Linked DNA regions of Arabidopsis thaliana. The protein of the gene in region 1 interacts with the protein of each later gene in a pairwise test. Each region holds a gene or a part of one and is shown on either strand. Other genes may lie near its edges. The genes, in order: AT5G55220 and EMB3003.

What was found.
Region 2: the proteins of AT5G55220 (region 1) and EMB3003 interact in a two-hybrid assay, tested with the Arabidopsis thaliana proteins (one large-scale study listed by BioGRID).

What each region holds. Positions count from the first base shown.
Region 1 is NC_003076.8:22,395,464-22,401,419, reverse strand, and holds AT5G55220 (trigger factor type chaperone family protein), read right to left. Parts: upstream 3,964-5,956; 5' UTR 3,744-3,963; coding exon 3,423-3,743; intron 3,314-3,422; coding exon 3,230-3,313; intron 3,136-3,229; coding exon 3,007-3,135; intron 2,847-3,006; coding exon 2,758-2,846; intron 2,650-2,757; coding exon 2,466-2,649; intron 2,206-2,465; coding exon 2,115-2,205; intron 2,010-2,114; coding exon 1,855-2,009; intron 1,765-1,854; coding exon 1,672-1,764; intron 1,580-1,671; coding exon 1,487-1,579; intron 1,412-1,486; coding exon 1,331-1,411; intron 1,248-1,330; coding exon 1,098-1,247; intron 1,011-1,097; coding exon 915-1,010; intron 820-914; coding exon 742-819; 3' UTR 564-741; downstream 1-563. Other genes in the region: AT5G55210 (uncharacterized protein), read left to right, coding at 4,046-4,351, 4,430-4,567, 4,651-4,713; MGE1 (Co-chaperone GrpE family protein), read right to left, coding at 5,085-5,183, 5,319-5,447, 5,536-5,703, 5,804-5,956. UniProt on the Arabidopsis thaliana protein: Involved in protein export. Acts as a chaperone by maintaining the newly synthesized protein in an open conformation. Functions as a peptidyl-prolyl cis-trans isomerase.
Region 2 is NC_003070.9:12,587,019-12,592,053, reverse strand, and holds EMB3003 (2-oxoacid dehydrogenases acyltransferase family protein), read left to right. Parts: upstream 1-1,830; 5' UTR 1,831-1,969; coding exon 1,970-2,827; intron 2,828-3,058; coding exon 3,059-3,250; intron 3,251-3,341; coding exon 3,342-3,429; intron 3,430-3,531; coding exon 3,532-3,602; intron 3,603-3,718; coding exon 3,719-3,802; intron 3,803-3,922; coding exon 3,923-4,027; 3' UTR 4,028-4,328; downstream 4,329-5,035. Other genes in the region: AT1G34440 (uncharacterized protein), read left to right, coding at 1-12, 212-254, 627-706; AT1G34420 (leucine-rich repeat transmembrane protein kinase family protein), read right to left, coding at 4,484-4,788, 4,872-5,035. UniProt on the Arabidopsis thaliana protein: The pyruvate dehydrogenase complex catalyzes the overall conversion of pyruvate to acetyl-CoA and CO(2).

The DNA.
Region 1 (5,956 bases):
TATCTGTAAAGTAAACTGGAATTATAAATGTTAGTTTGAAATACTCAGATCAAACATTGACATCTTTGACATTATAGTCTTGCATTCAAAATAGATGAAAAGTTCTCCGGAGAATTGCTGATTTTGAATAAAATTCTGTTTTCAAATTAGCAGTATCTTCGATATTATTCCTTATTAATAAATCCAATCACTAGTTGGTTAGAAACTTCTTTTTTTTGTATTGAACTGTGTTTATTATTAGTTGGGAAAATGGTGTAAGTACTAGCCTACTCGGATTGGTGAAATTTAATTTACCTTTCCATAATTTAACATGGATCATGAGGAAGTAGTTCGTAAATACAGCTAAGACAAGTAGCAAAAGTGATGAGGTCAGAGGGAAGATTAGTCCATATAGAACCAAACTAGAAAAGACGAAGAGTCTCTTTTTTTTTTTGTCGAAATAAAAAACAAGTCATAGTCAAAATGACTCAATGTTAGTTGGCAAATTCAATATGAAATCGACGTAAATACTTATATCTATACCATCTATATCCAATAAAACACATTGACTATAGAATCAAAAAGTGACCTAAATTACAAAATAAAAAGCAACGTTTCTGTTAATAATTTATTGCACCTATCAATTCAAATATAGTCAAAGTTCTCTTCTTCTGACAAAATCAATCATAATTGTACATCAAAACCAAATTGCTCATACAAAAACAGAACATGCCAATCATACATACATTACCTATATGCTAATCAACGAGTGATGTATTGAATCTCGGCTCGGTCTTTTAACCATTCAAGCACTTTTGCTCCTTCTAAAATCTCTTGTACCTAACCAACCACCAATTCAAGAAGAACCTCTCTCTTTCAGTTATCTTATATAGGCTCAAGAAACTGATAGTGCTTAGATTCACAAGAGAACTAACCTGATCTTTCACACGCTCCTCGTCGAACTCTTGTTTATGTTTCTTGAATTCTGAGATCGAGTTTTCGACCTCTTTAACTAGTTCATCTGTTGAGAACTGCATTCAAGTATTTCGACAATGTTTTTGTTACTAAAAATGTATTGTTTCTTTCTTGGAGACAGAGTATCATGCATATAAATATACCTCTAAGTTTTCGCGCTTGAAGATATCTCCAACAGCTATATTCTGCTTGATTATGTTGGTGATGCTCTCTCTTTGAGTTTCTAGAAACTCATTTACTGCTTTTTGACTTGAAAGAGAAGCCAACTGGTCTTCGTTAAGCTTCATGTTTCCCTGCAGCACCATATTCAACCTTAAGAATCTGAGTGACAGTAAAAGAGAGTAAGAGATCAACAACAGTCACTGAAAACACTTGCCTGAATCTCTAGAAGCCTAGCTCCATAAAACTGTCTTCCTTGTTCCTCAAATAAAGATTGAGGAATCTCTACTTCAACCATCTAAAAAAAAAGAAGCAAATGATGTTTGATCAACGATGTTAATGCTTCAAATGATATATGGAATTAGATGATGACCTTTCGAATCTGCTCAAGGATGGCGTTGTCTGTCGCTTGCTCCTTGGCTTCCTGCTCCATCTCTTGACATCTTTTAGCCAGAGTTTCTTCAACCTGTTTACTTGTTTCATTAGCGAATTACACTGATATAAGACAAAAAAAAAAATTGTATAATTTGTTGAAAATAAAATCCATGTGTTCATTACCTCCTTTAAAGTGGTGCATCCAGGAAGCAATTTATCAGCGAGTGAGTCATCTAATGTTGGTAAATCTCTGTAGAAAAGTTCCTTGCAGTCAACCTTAAGAAAACATACACAATTAGCTGTCCCAAATATGATCTCTTTGTAATCATCTTTTTCTATGTTTGGTATATAGAAAGACGAGCTCACAGTGAATTGAGCACGTTGGCCACGTAGACTTTCTTGTTTCCATGATTCAGGAAACACAAGCGTGAATGACTTTGATTCGCCTGCTCGAATTCCTATGATTGCATCAAGGAATCCAGGAAGTAATCTATTCCCTTCTTCAGTGTCAAAGTGAAAACCTGTTCACACAACCGCCAATCTCAGTATTCATTTGCAAGCAATGATTTCAATGGACTAAGAGATTTCAACCACAAATCTCTGTTGAAATATAACAGTTCTAAAACCTTTGCTTTCAGCATCTGGAATCGCTTGACCCGTTGACCCGTCCTCATCTATAGTTGTAGCAGAAATATCAACAACTGCTAGATCTCCCACCTACACGGTTTTAGGACATAATAAAAAAGCAATTCTAGCAACTATATCATCTTTGCAGAGTTAACTACGAACAAATGAAGCCAGATTCATAGCCAAATTATTTTAAAAAAACTTAAATCTATAATAAGCTATAGTGGATGAACTTAAATGTAACGACTAACGAGGTAAAAGGTCGGTCCTATTTTAACTCAGCAATTAGCAACCTTACACTAGTTTCAGAAAACAATGCAAGGACATGGGGAATTTATGCATTCCTTTACCTGTAGCCCTCGCTCGGTTACAATCTTCAACGCACCAAGAGACTTGTATTTCTGTCTTAGTTGTCTTTCACAAGCTTTTTTTGCATCTATCTCATCGCCTAGTTCTACAACGACCTTCATATTTTTATACCCATCCTCAGGATTCCATTTTAGTTCAGGTACAACATCAACAACCACCTCATAACTAAGGAACAAGAGAAAATCAGAAAAAAAAAAACAAAAAAAACATGTTAAGTTAGTTAGCATCATTACTCCAAAAGATTTTTAGTATATGTGATGAAGAAACAAAAACCTAAGAGTCTTGAGCTTAGAATAAGCCTTCTCCATATCTGGAAAACTGCTTACAATCTGTATCGAGTCTTTTAAAGCCCTTCCAGTCACCTACAAAAACCAAAATCTCATATGCATAATGTTCCAAGACAACAAACACCGAATTTAGATACACCACAAGACTTGTTCTTGCCAAATGGCCAAAACATTATATTAAACCGCGGAAGATTGAAAAACATAAACAAACTAATATAAACATTTGAAAACTTACTGATTCCATGGCGTGAGGAAGTGTTCTCTTTAAGATAGATTCAACAGTTGCTCTCAGAACATATTGCCTCCCAACGAAACCAACAATAATATTCTCTGGAACTCTTGTTTTAGGACGGAATCCAGGCACCTGATTCAAACCAAGTAAAATCACAATCAACAGCAAGCATTACATGGATCAAGTTTCAACATTTCATCTTCATGTAAGATGAATATTAGTTTACCTTTGAGAGTTTCATGAATTCGGTAAGGACTCGTTGGTAACAATCTTCACAGACAATTTCTGGAACTTCCACACTCAATTTCACCTAAATTGAACAGTAAATCAAATTTCAAGTCATGTCAAAACTCAGACCAAACACAATGCTACACATATTCTCCAACAAATAGACAAAAAAAAAATTGAAAGTCTCTTACACTTGAATTCGCCTGTACAGTCTCCGTGACCTTAAGATCAGCTGGAAGTTTGTCTTCCTTTACACTAGTTTCAACCGCTGGAGAAGCCGCCGCGAATAGCCTAAAATTACCACCATGTGACATAAAATCTCCGAAAAATCCAATTTTTCTAGAGACACAAGACATGTCCAAAGGCCTGCTAATTGGTTTCTTCAACCTCCCACCAAACTGTAGCACACTATCTGATTGGAAGAGACGGGAACTAACACGACGTGTAATAGACGGAAGAAACGGATTAATTGCCTTCACCGTCGTAGTCGTGCTGATAACACAGAGCTCCATTTTCGCTCTCTCTTCTTGCTTATACTGAACAGAGCTAATGAATGAAGCGCCACTTCTTCTTGCTTCTACTTTCAGATAAACAGAGTTATCTCCTTAAAACGCTGCGTTTCGACTAATCAACAAATCTCTCTTTAAAACGCTACGTTTCAACTAATTAACAATTATCTCACTAAAACGCCGCGTTTTGAAGCCATATCACATAAATACGCCGCGTTTGTGGCTATATCACATCAAAACGCAGCGTTTTCTAGCTGATAGATAAAGCAACTATTTTCCCGGCTAGTGAGAAGAGAGAGAAGAGAATGGAAGGTGTAGGATCGAGATTGAGCCGGACGTCATCGAGATACAGTGGTCCGGCGGCGACGGCGGTGTTCAGTGGCCGTGTAAGGAAATGGAAGAAGAAGTGGGTACGTGTCTCAACCTCATCCGTCGGTGTTTTCAGAGCATCTAAATCCAACGGTCGTAACAACAGCAACAACAGTAACTCACCACACCATCTACTTCTCCATAAGTGGACTCCACTTACCTCAGCGACGGTTACTGCCTCCGACGCTAATGGTTCCGGTGAGACAGAGGAGTCGCCTAAGCGAAGATTCAGATACGCTCCAGTAAGTTTTTTTTCCCCAAATCATTAAATTAGGGTTTTAGTTGTGTGGGATTAGTGGAAAATGATTGATTTTGTGTAGATTGCGATGCTTGAGCATAGAGAAAAAGTGATTTCTAAGGATTCTGAAATTGAAGAGACTGAAGAATTCGACACTGAATCTCCATTACCTAAAGCTGTTGAGCTAGACATGAACCTAACAGACTCAGACCAAACTAAGGTAAGCTTCATTTAAAACTCAAGCAATGTAATGAAAGTGGTTAGTGTTTGTTCATACTTGTGTTTTATAAACTTACTCTGCAGGAAGCAAAAACTGGTAATTTGAATCTGGGACTGTGTCTGAATTCTGAAGGGACTGAAGAATGAAGAGAATCATATTGATTTGGGATGAGCAACTATAAAATGTGTTCAGCTGTGATGATGTCTTATATTGTATCTTATGCTAGGCGGTTATTCCACTTTGACGTCTTCTAGATCTCTATGTAGTGTGTTTGTAAGTTAGGAAGAAGTTATATAAATGTAAGATTTGAAGCTTTTACCAAGAGTTTGGCTTTGGCTTATGAATTTGTGTAAAAGTTACAGAACCAGGGCTTCCCTGGAAGTACAGAGCATAGTCATGCTACCTTATGGGAATCTTGTTCCTCCAATGAATATGCAAAGAAAGAGAACTATTAACTAAAAAAAGAACTCATGAAGATGTTAAAAACAAAAGCTTAACTCTCGATGTTTTAAGTATTTCAAGCTGCAGACTCTTTGCCGCCTTCTTGATTCTCCACGGCGCAAGTAACACCAACCTCAGCTGGCCTTATAACTCGATCGTACAATGAGTATCCAGACTGCAAATATGGAAGAAAAAAAAACAGTTATAAAATGATGGCAGAGAATCCATGATATTGTGTGGATTTCTAAAAGTTAACATAGGCTTAAGAGTTAAAGCAAGAAAGAGAGCAATCCTTTGAATAGTTTAGTACCTTTAGGACATGAGCAATTGTGCCTTTTGGCTTGGAAGCATCTGGGACTTGGAACACTGCGTTATGTCTGTTTGGATTAAACGGTTCATTTAAAGGATCTTCTTTCACCAAACCAGCTTTTCTAAACACCTGCAGTTTTACATACAAAATTGCATTCTCAGCACCAGTCTTATTATCATTGTTTACCTCAAAAGATATATATAATGGACGTTTTTACCTCAGCTAATTGTTTCTCAGTCATCTCCACTCCTTCTAATAGGTTTTTTAACAGTGGAGTAGCACCAGCCAAATCTTTTGAAGTGTCGATCTTCGAAAAACTCTCTTTGACAACAGAAGAAGCTCTTTCAAGATTATCCGCCACATCCAAAAGGCTCGTTGCAAAGTTCTGCAGCACAACAAAACATATTCAGCACTGGATTATACACAAAGCAAAACGAGTTAATACAAGAAAGAAGAAAAAGGATTCGCGGAGTAGAGAAGTAAACCTGTACAGCGAACTTTTTGGCGCTTTCAGCATTACGGTTAGTCCTGTCCATAAGATTCTGCTGCTCAGCATAAGTGCGAAGAAATTTATCTTTCATTTCCATTATGTCTTTCTGCTGAACCTTCAAAAGATCTTCCTTCTCACTCACAAGCTT
Region 2 (5,035 bases), on another chromosome or scaffold:
TTTCTGTTTCAGGTTTGCGTACCCCTTCTCGGCATTTATCATATATGTTATGTTTTTCTAGTAAAAATTTAAAAAAAAAAAAAAAAAAAATTTCAGATTAGCGATTAACAGATGATAAACGGTGTCATAGTGTATTGATTATCAAAACAAATTGCAAGTGATTCATACTACGAACAACCGTTTGATTTTATTTTGGTGTGTGTTTGTTTAGAGAAGAAGAAAAGACAAGGTTTCTTCTAGAATTATCTATTCAGGTAAATAAACATTTATCTTTTCAATAAAATACAAAAATCAATCAATATGTGAAATGATCTGAAGAAAGTTTTGTGGGTTTCGGCCCAAAACAAAATTGTCATGTTATTCATTAATGGACTCCTAAATTATTCGTTGAAGCAAACAATTTTTGGCATTTTATTAGATATTCGATAAATAATCATAAATAATAGACTTATTTGTCTAAAAAACCACAAAAACAAATAAAAATTGTATGACTTTTTTGTGTTGTCGTCGTCGTCGTTATCAACCCTCATCATCATCATCACCAACGTAACCACCGACGCCATCATCATCGCCATTAACAACTGGATCTGTCTCCGTTTCCATCAAATCTCTTTCTCTCTCTGCAGATCAATTGATTTTTTACAACGTGATTGAAGCGGGGCTAGCTCCGGTGACGATAGTTGATTGGTTTTGTCCCTTAAGATGAGCTCCTTCAATGGTAACGAACGGCGTCGGCGGCCGTGAATCATGAGAGAGATGGCTCAGTTTCTTTTTCTTTTCTCTGATCTTCCTCTTTATCATCAGATTCTATCTCAGAAACTTATCAATGTGCGTTTGATTTTTTTTGCTTGGGTTCCCTTTACAATAATCATTAGGGTTTAGTTTTTGAATGGAATTCTCTTCCAATAAACAAAATATCATTAATGGTGAATAGTGAGGACGCAAATGATTATTGAAAAGCTTTGATTTCGAATACTCGATTGCAGATCTGCCACAAATCTGAAACTCTGTTTTTACTATTCACCTTCTTCTTCATTTGCAAGATGATTTCATTTCGTTCGTTTAATTTTTTGCTTTGGTTTCATAAATACTATCATCTTTAGGGTTTAATTATTGTGAATCAATGAATGTTTTTAGTTAGAATAGATTTTAAGAATATGAGATTTGGAAAAAAAATTGGATTTAAAAGAAGAGGAGCGTGCAAGAAGATGATGAGAGAAGATGATGAGATTATTCAGGGGTAAAATGATCAAATCGCCCTATCAAAACTACTCTTTTTCAAAGATCATACACAAAAGCCTCAAAATCAAAATTTTTATCAAAAAACATCCTCTTTTGACAATAACCCCTAAATAATATTATAAGTATTATACACTAATATTCTGCAACTGTCCAGATTATTTATCATTTACCAAAGAAATATATTAAAAATTATATTTATCTTTAAATTCAATATTTATAATGGATCAAACATCAAACAAATTTGTATACCGAAATTTTTTTAAAACACAAAATATAAGTTTCTCCTTAATTTTCTTTTATGAAATTTTCTTCTAAAAATAGAATAACATATAAAATAATACATAAGAGAGAAATCATGCTTTATTTTACAGAGAAAAATAGAGATTTACATTGGAGATAATCTTATATGAAAACTGTAAAAAACTATAAAATCAGGGCGAAAAATGTGTATGGTAAAAAAACTTAACATGTGGTTAAAGGTTTTAAAAAGATTACAGAATAGTTCTCTATTGGGCCTTCGAAAAAAGCCCAATACCCAACAACAAAAACGCGCGTGTATCACACCTTCAATACACTAGTAAGAGTCACACAGTGATCGTCACCGGTAAATTAGTTGGCAAACTCCGCCTGCTCTTCGATAATTCCGAGGAGCTTCTTCACTCTTCTTATATCTCATTTCTCTCTATCTCTCTCTCTCTCTCGCATTGCGATTAACGAAATTCGAAAAATGTCTCGTCTTCTCCAAACACCCTTCTTACCTTCAGTTTCCCTCCCCACAAAAACACGATCTTCCGTTACGGGTTTCCGGGTAAAGCCCAGAATCATCCCAATTCAAGCAAAGATCCGAGAAATCTTCATGCCTGCACTAAGTTCCACGATGACCGAAGGCAAAATCGTCTCTTGGGTTAAATCAGAAGGCGATAAACTCAACAAAGGAGAGAGTGTTGTTGTTGTTGAATCTGATAAAGCTGATATGGATGTTGAGACTTTCTATGATGGTTATCTAGCTGCAATCATGGTTGAAGAAGGTGGTGTTGCTCCTGTTGGTTCTGCTATTGCTTTGTTAGCTGAAACTGAAGATGAGATTGCTGATGCTAAAGCTAAAGCTTCTGGTGGTGGTGGTGGTGGTGATTCTAAGGCTCCTCCGGCTTCTCCTCCCACGGCTGCAGTTGAAGCACCTGTGAGTGTTGAGAAGAAGGTTGCAGCTGCTCCGGTGTCCATTAAGGCGGTGGCGGCGTCTGCGGTGCATCCGGCGTCTGAAGGAGGGAAGAGGATTGTGGCGTCTCCTTATGCTAAGAAGTTAGCTAAGGAGTTGAAGGTTGAATTGGCTGGTTTAGTTGGAAGTGGACCGATGGGAAGGATTGTGGCTAAAGATGTTGAGGCGGTTGCTGCTGGAGGAGGAGTTCAAGCTGCTGTTGCTGTTAAGGAGGTAGTGGCAGCTCCTGGTGTGGAGTTGGGATCGGTGGTTCCTTTTACGACAATGCAGGGGGCTGTGAGTAGGAATATGGTGGAGAGTCTTGGTGTTCCTACTTTTAGAGTCGGTTACACGATTAGTACGGATGCTCTTGATGCTCTCTACAAGAAGGTGAGTGTGTTTTGAAATCCGTTTGGTTGGTATGATAGAGTAGACTGGAGATTCCATTGATTGTGATAATAGTTGCTTGATGAAGTTTTGAACTTTGGGATGAGATTATGAGAGATAGCTAGTTGAATTATAAATGATAGTATCTTATGATGTGCATCAGAAGCATACACTAGTTACAAACTGTAAGTGTAAATGTTGATTTGGTTCACATTTTGTGTTTGGTTTGTTTAGATTAAGTCGAAAGGTGTGACAATGACGGCACTTTTAGCAAAGGCAACTGCACTTGCACTGGCGAAACATCCAGTTGTAAACTCGTCTTGTAGAGATGGTAACAGTTTTGTGTATAATAGTAGCATCAACGTTGCTGTTGCTGTTGCTATTGATGGTGGTTTGATCACTCCGGTGCTTCAGAACGCTGATAAGGTTCTTTTCTTTTGTATGCTTTATAAGAGATTTTGAGTTTACTCTGTATTCAAAACCGGTATCAGTGGGTTGTTCTATCTTTTGTAAACAGGTTGACATTTATTCGTTATCTAGAAAATGGAAAGAATTGGTTGATAAGGCTCGAGCCAAGCAGCTGCAGCCTCAGGAGTACAACACTGGTAATCCTACTACTAGAATATTGAAGTGATTTGAGTTTGAGTAATCCTTCAACTAGATTGTTTGAGTCTTGTTGTTTTTATTTCCCTTCCGGGTAATTGCAGGTACCTTCACTCTCTCTAACCTAGGAATGTTTGGCGTTGATCGGTTTGATGCTATTCTACCCCCTGGAACAGTTAGTGCTTTTACCTTTATGCGTGTATTTTAGTTTGTATCTTGGTTATGTCTTTTAGCCTAATAATTATGCTAAGGATAACAGCTCATTGGTTTTCTTGTCTTTGATCAATGAAGGGAGCGATTATGGCTGTCGGAGCATCTCAACCTTCAGTGGTTGCAACTAAAGACGGCCGCATTGGCATGAAAAACCAGATGCAGGTAAATGTTATTATCAACCATCGTTAGAACTTGTTCCTCTTCTCCTTTTTGTCTTCATGAAAACGTCTCGAGTTTTCCTGGGAACTTGTTAATGATGACTGGTCACTTGCAAACCCACAGGTGAATGTGACGGCAGATCATCGTGTCATCTATGGTGCTGATCTTGCACAGTTCTTGCAAACATTGGCAAGCATTATTGAGGACCCAAAGGACCTTACATTCTAGGCCAAATTACTGCTTTTCGCATCCCAGTCTTCTCTGCTTTTGATTCCATGGGAGCTTGTATTTCTGCGGTAATCAGTTTCTTTGATAGAACAAACCTTTTAAGATTAAACATAATCATTTCTTTGTTTGAGATATATCTTCTGCAACATTTTCTGCATGGAAAGGCCGTCCCACATGATTTTGCTACTGACTTCATATATATCCACTTCATGCGATGAATCTTATATGAACTGATAACTTTAGCATGATTAATAACATGAATCTTATATGGACTGATAATTTTCAAACTACAACTGTGAATGCATTACATCTTTCCTGTTTCTCTCAGCATCTCAAAAATGGAGATGCAGATGATAGTCTGTCAGAGGAAAGAAACCTCTCTAATCTCTATGCTGCTTATACATACAGATACAGTAACAAGCAAAAATTTACATATCATGCATCTGACACTTTTAATTAGAGTCTTGTGAGCATCCGTAGAACAGTCTTCATCTTTGGTCTTGCCCCAGGAGAGATGTTTATGCAGGCAAGAGCAACACCGAGGGCACGGAGCATCTGCTTTGTTGCTACAGTTGATGTTTTGCTCACTCTGAGATCAAGAATGTTGTTCTGCTGCTCTTGATGGCTCGAATGGCTCTGCACCCACTTAGCCAAATCTCTTCCTTCACTTACAGCTGGCCTTCCAGTTAACAACTCTAAAAGAATCACCCCAAAGCTGTAGACGTTCCCAGCCATTGTCACCCTCATCGTGTAAGCATACTCTGATGAAGTGATCAAAAGTGAAAGATTAAGAGAGCTGTTGTTTCTCAGACAAGCCCATATAAGTTTTGTATAATGTGTTCACCTGGTGGAATGTAGCCGATGGTGCCTGCAACTGCTGAGAGGCTGCTGTTGCTTTTGGAAGGATCGATTACCTTGAACAGTTCAATGTCCCCTACTAGAGGCTCAGTGAGCGACTTGAGTAGTATTTTTTTACTAGACAGATCTGGTAGAAGGATTGGATCACGA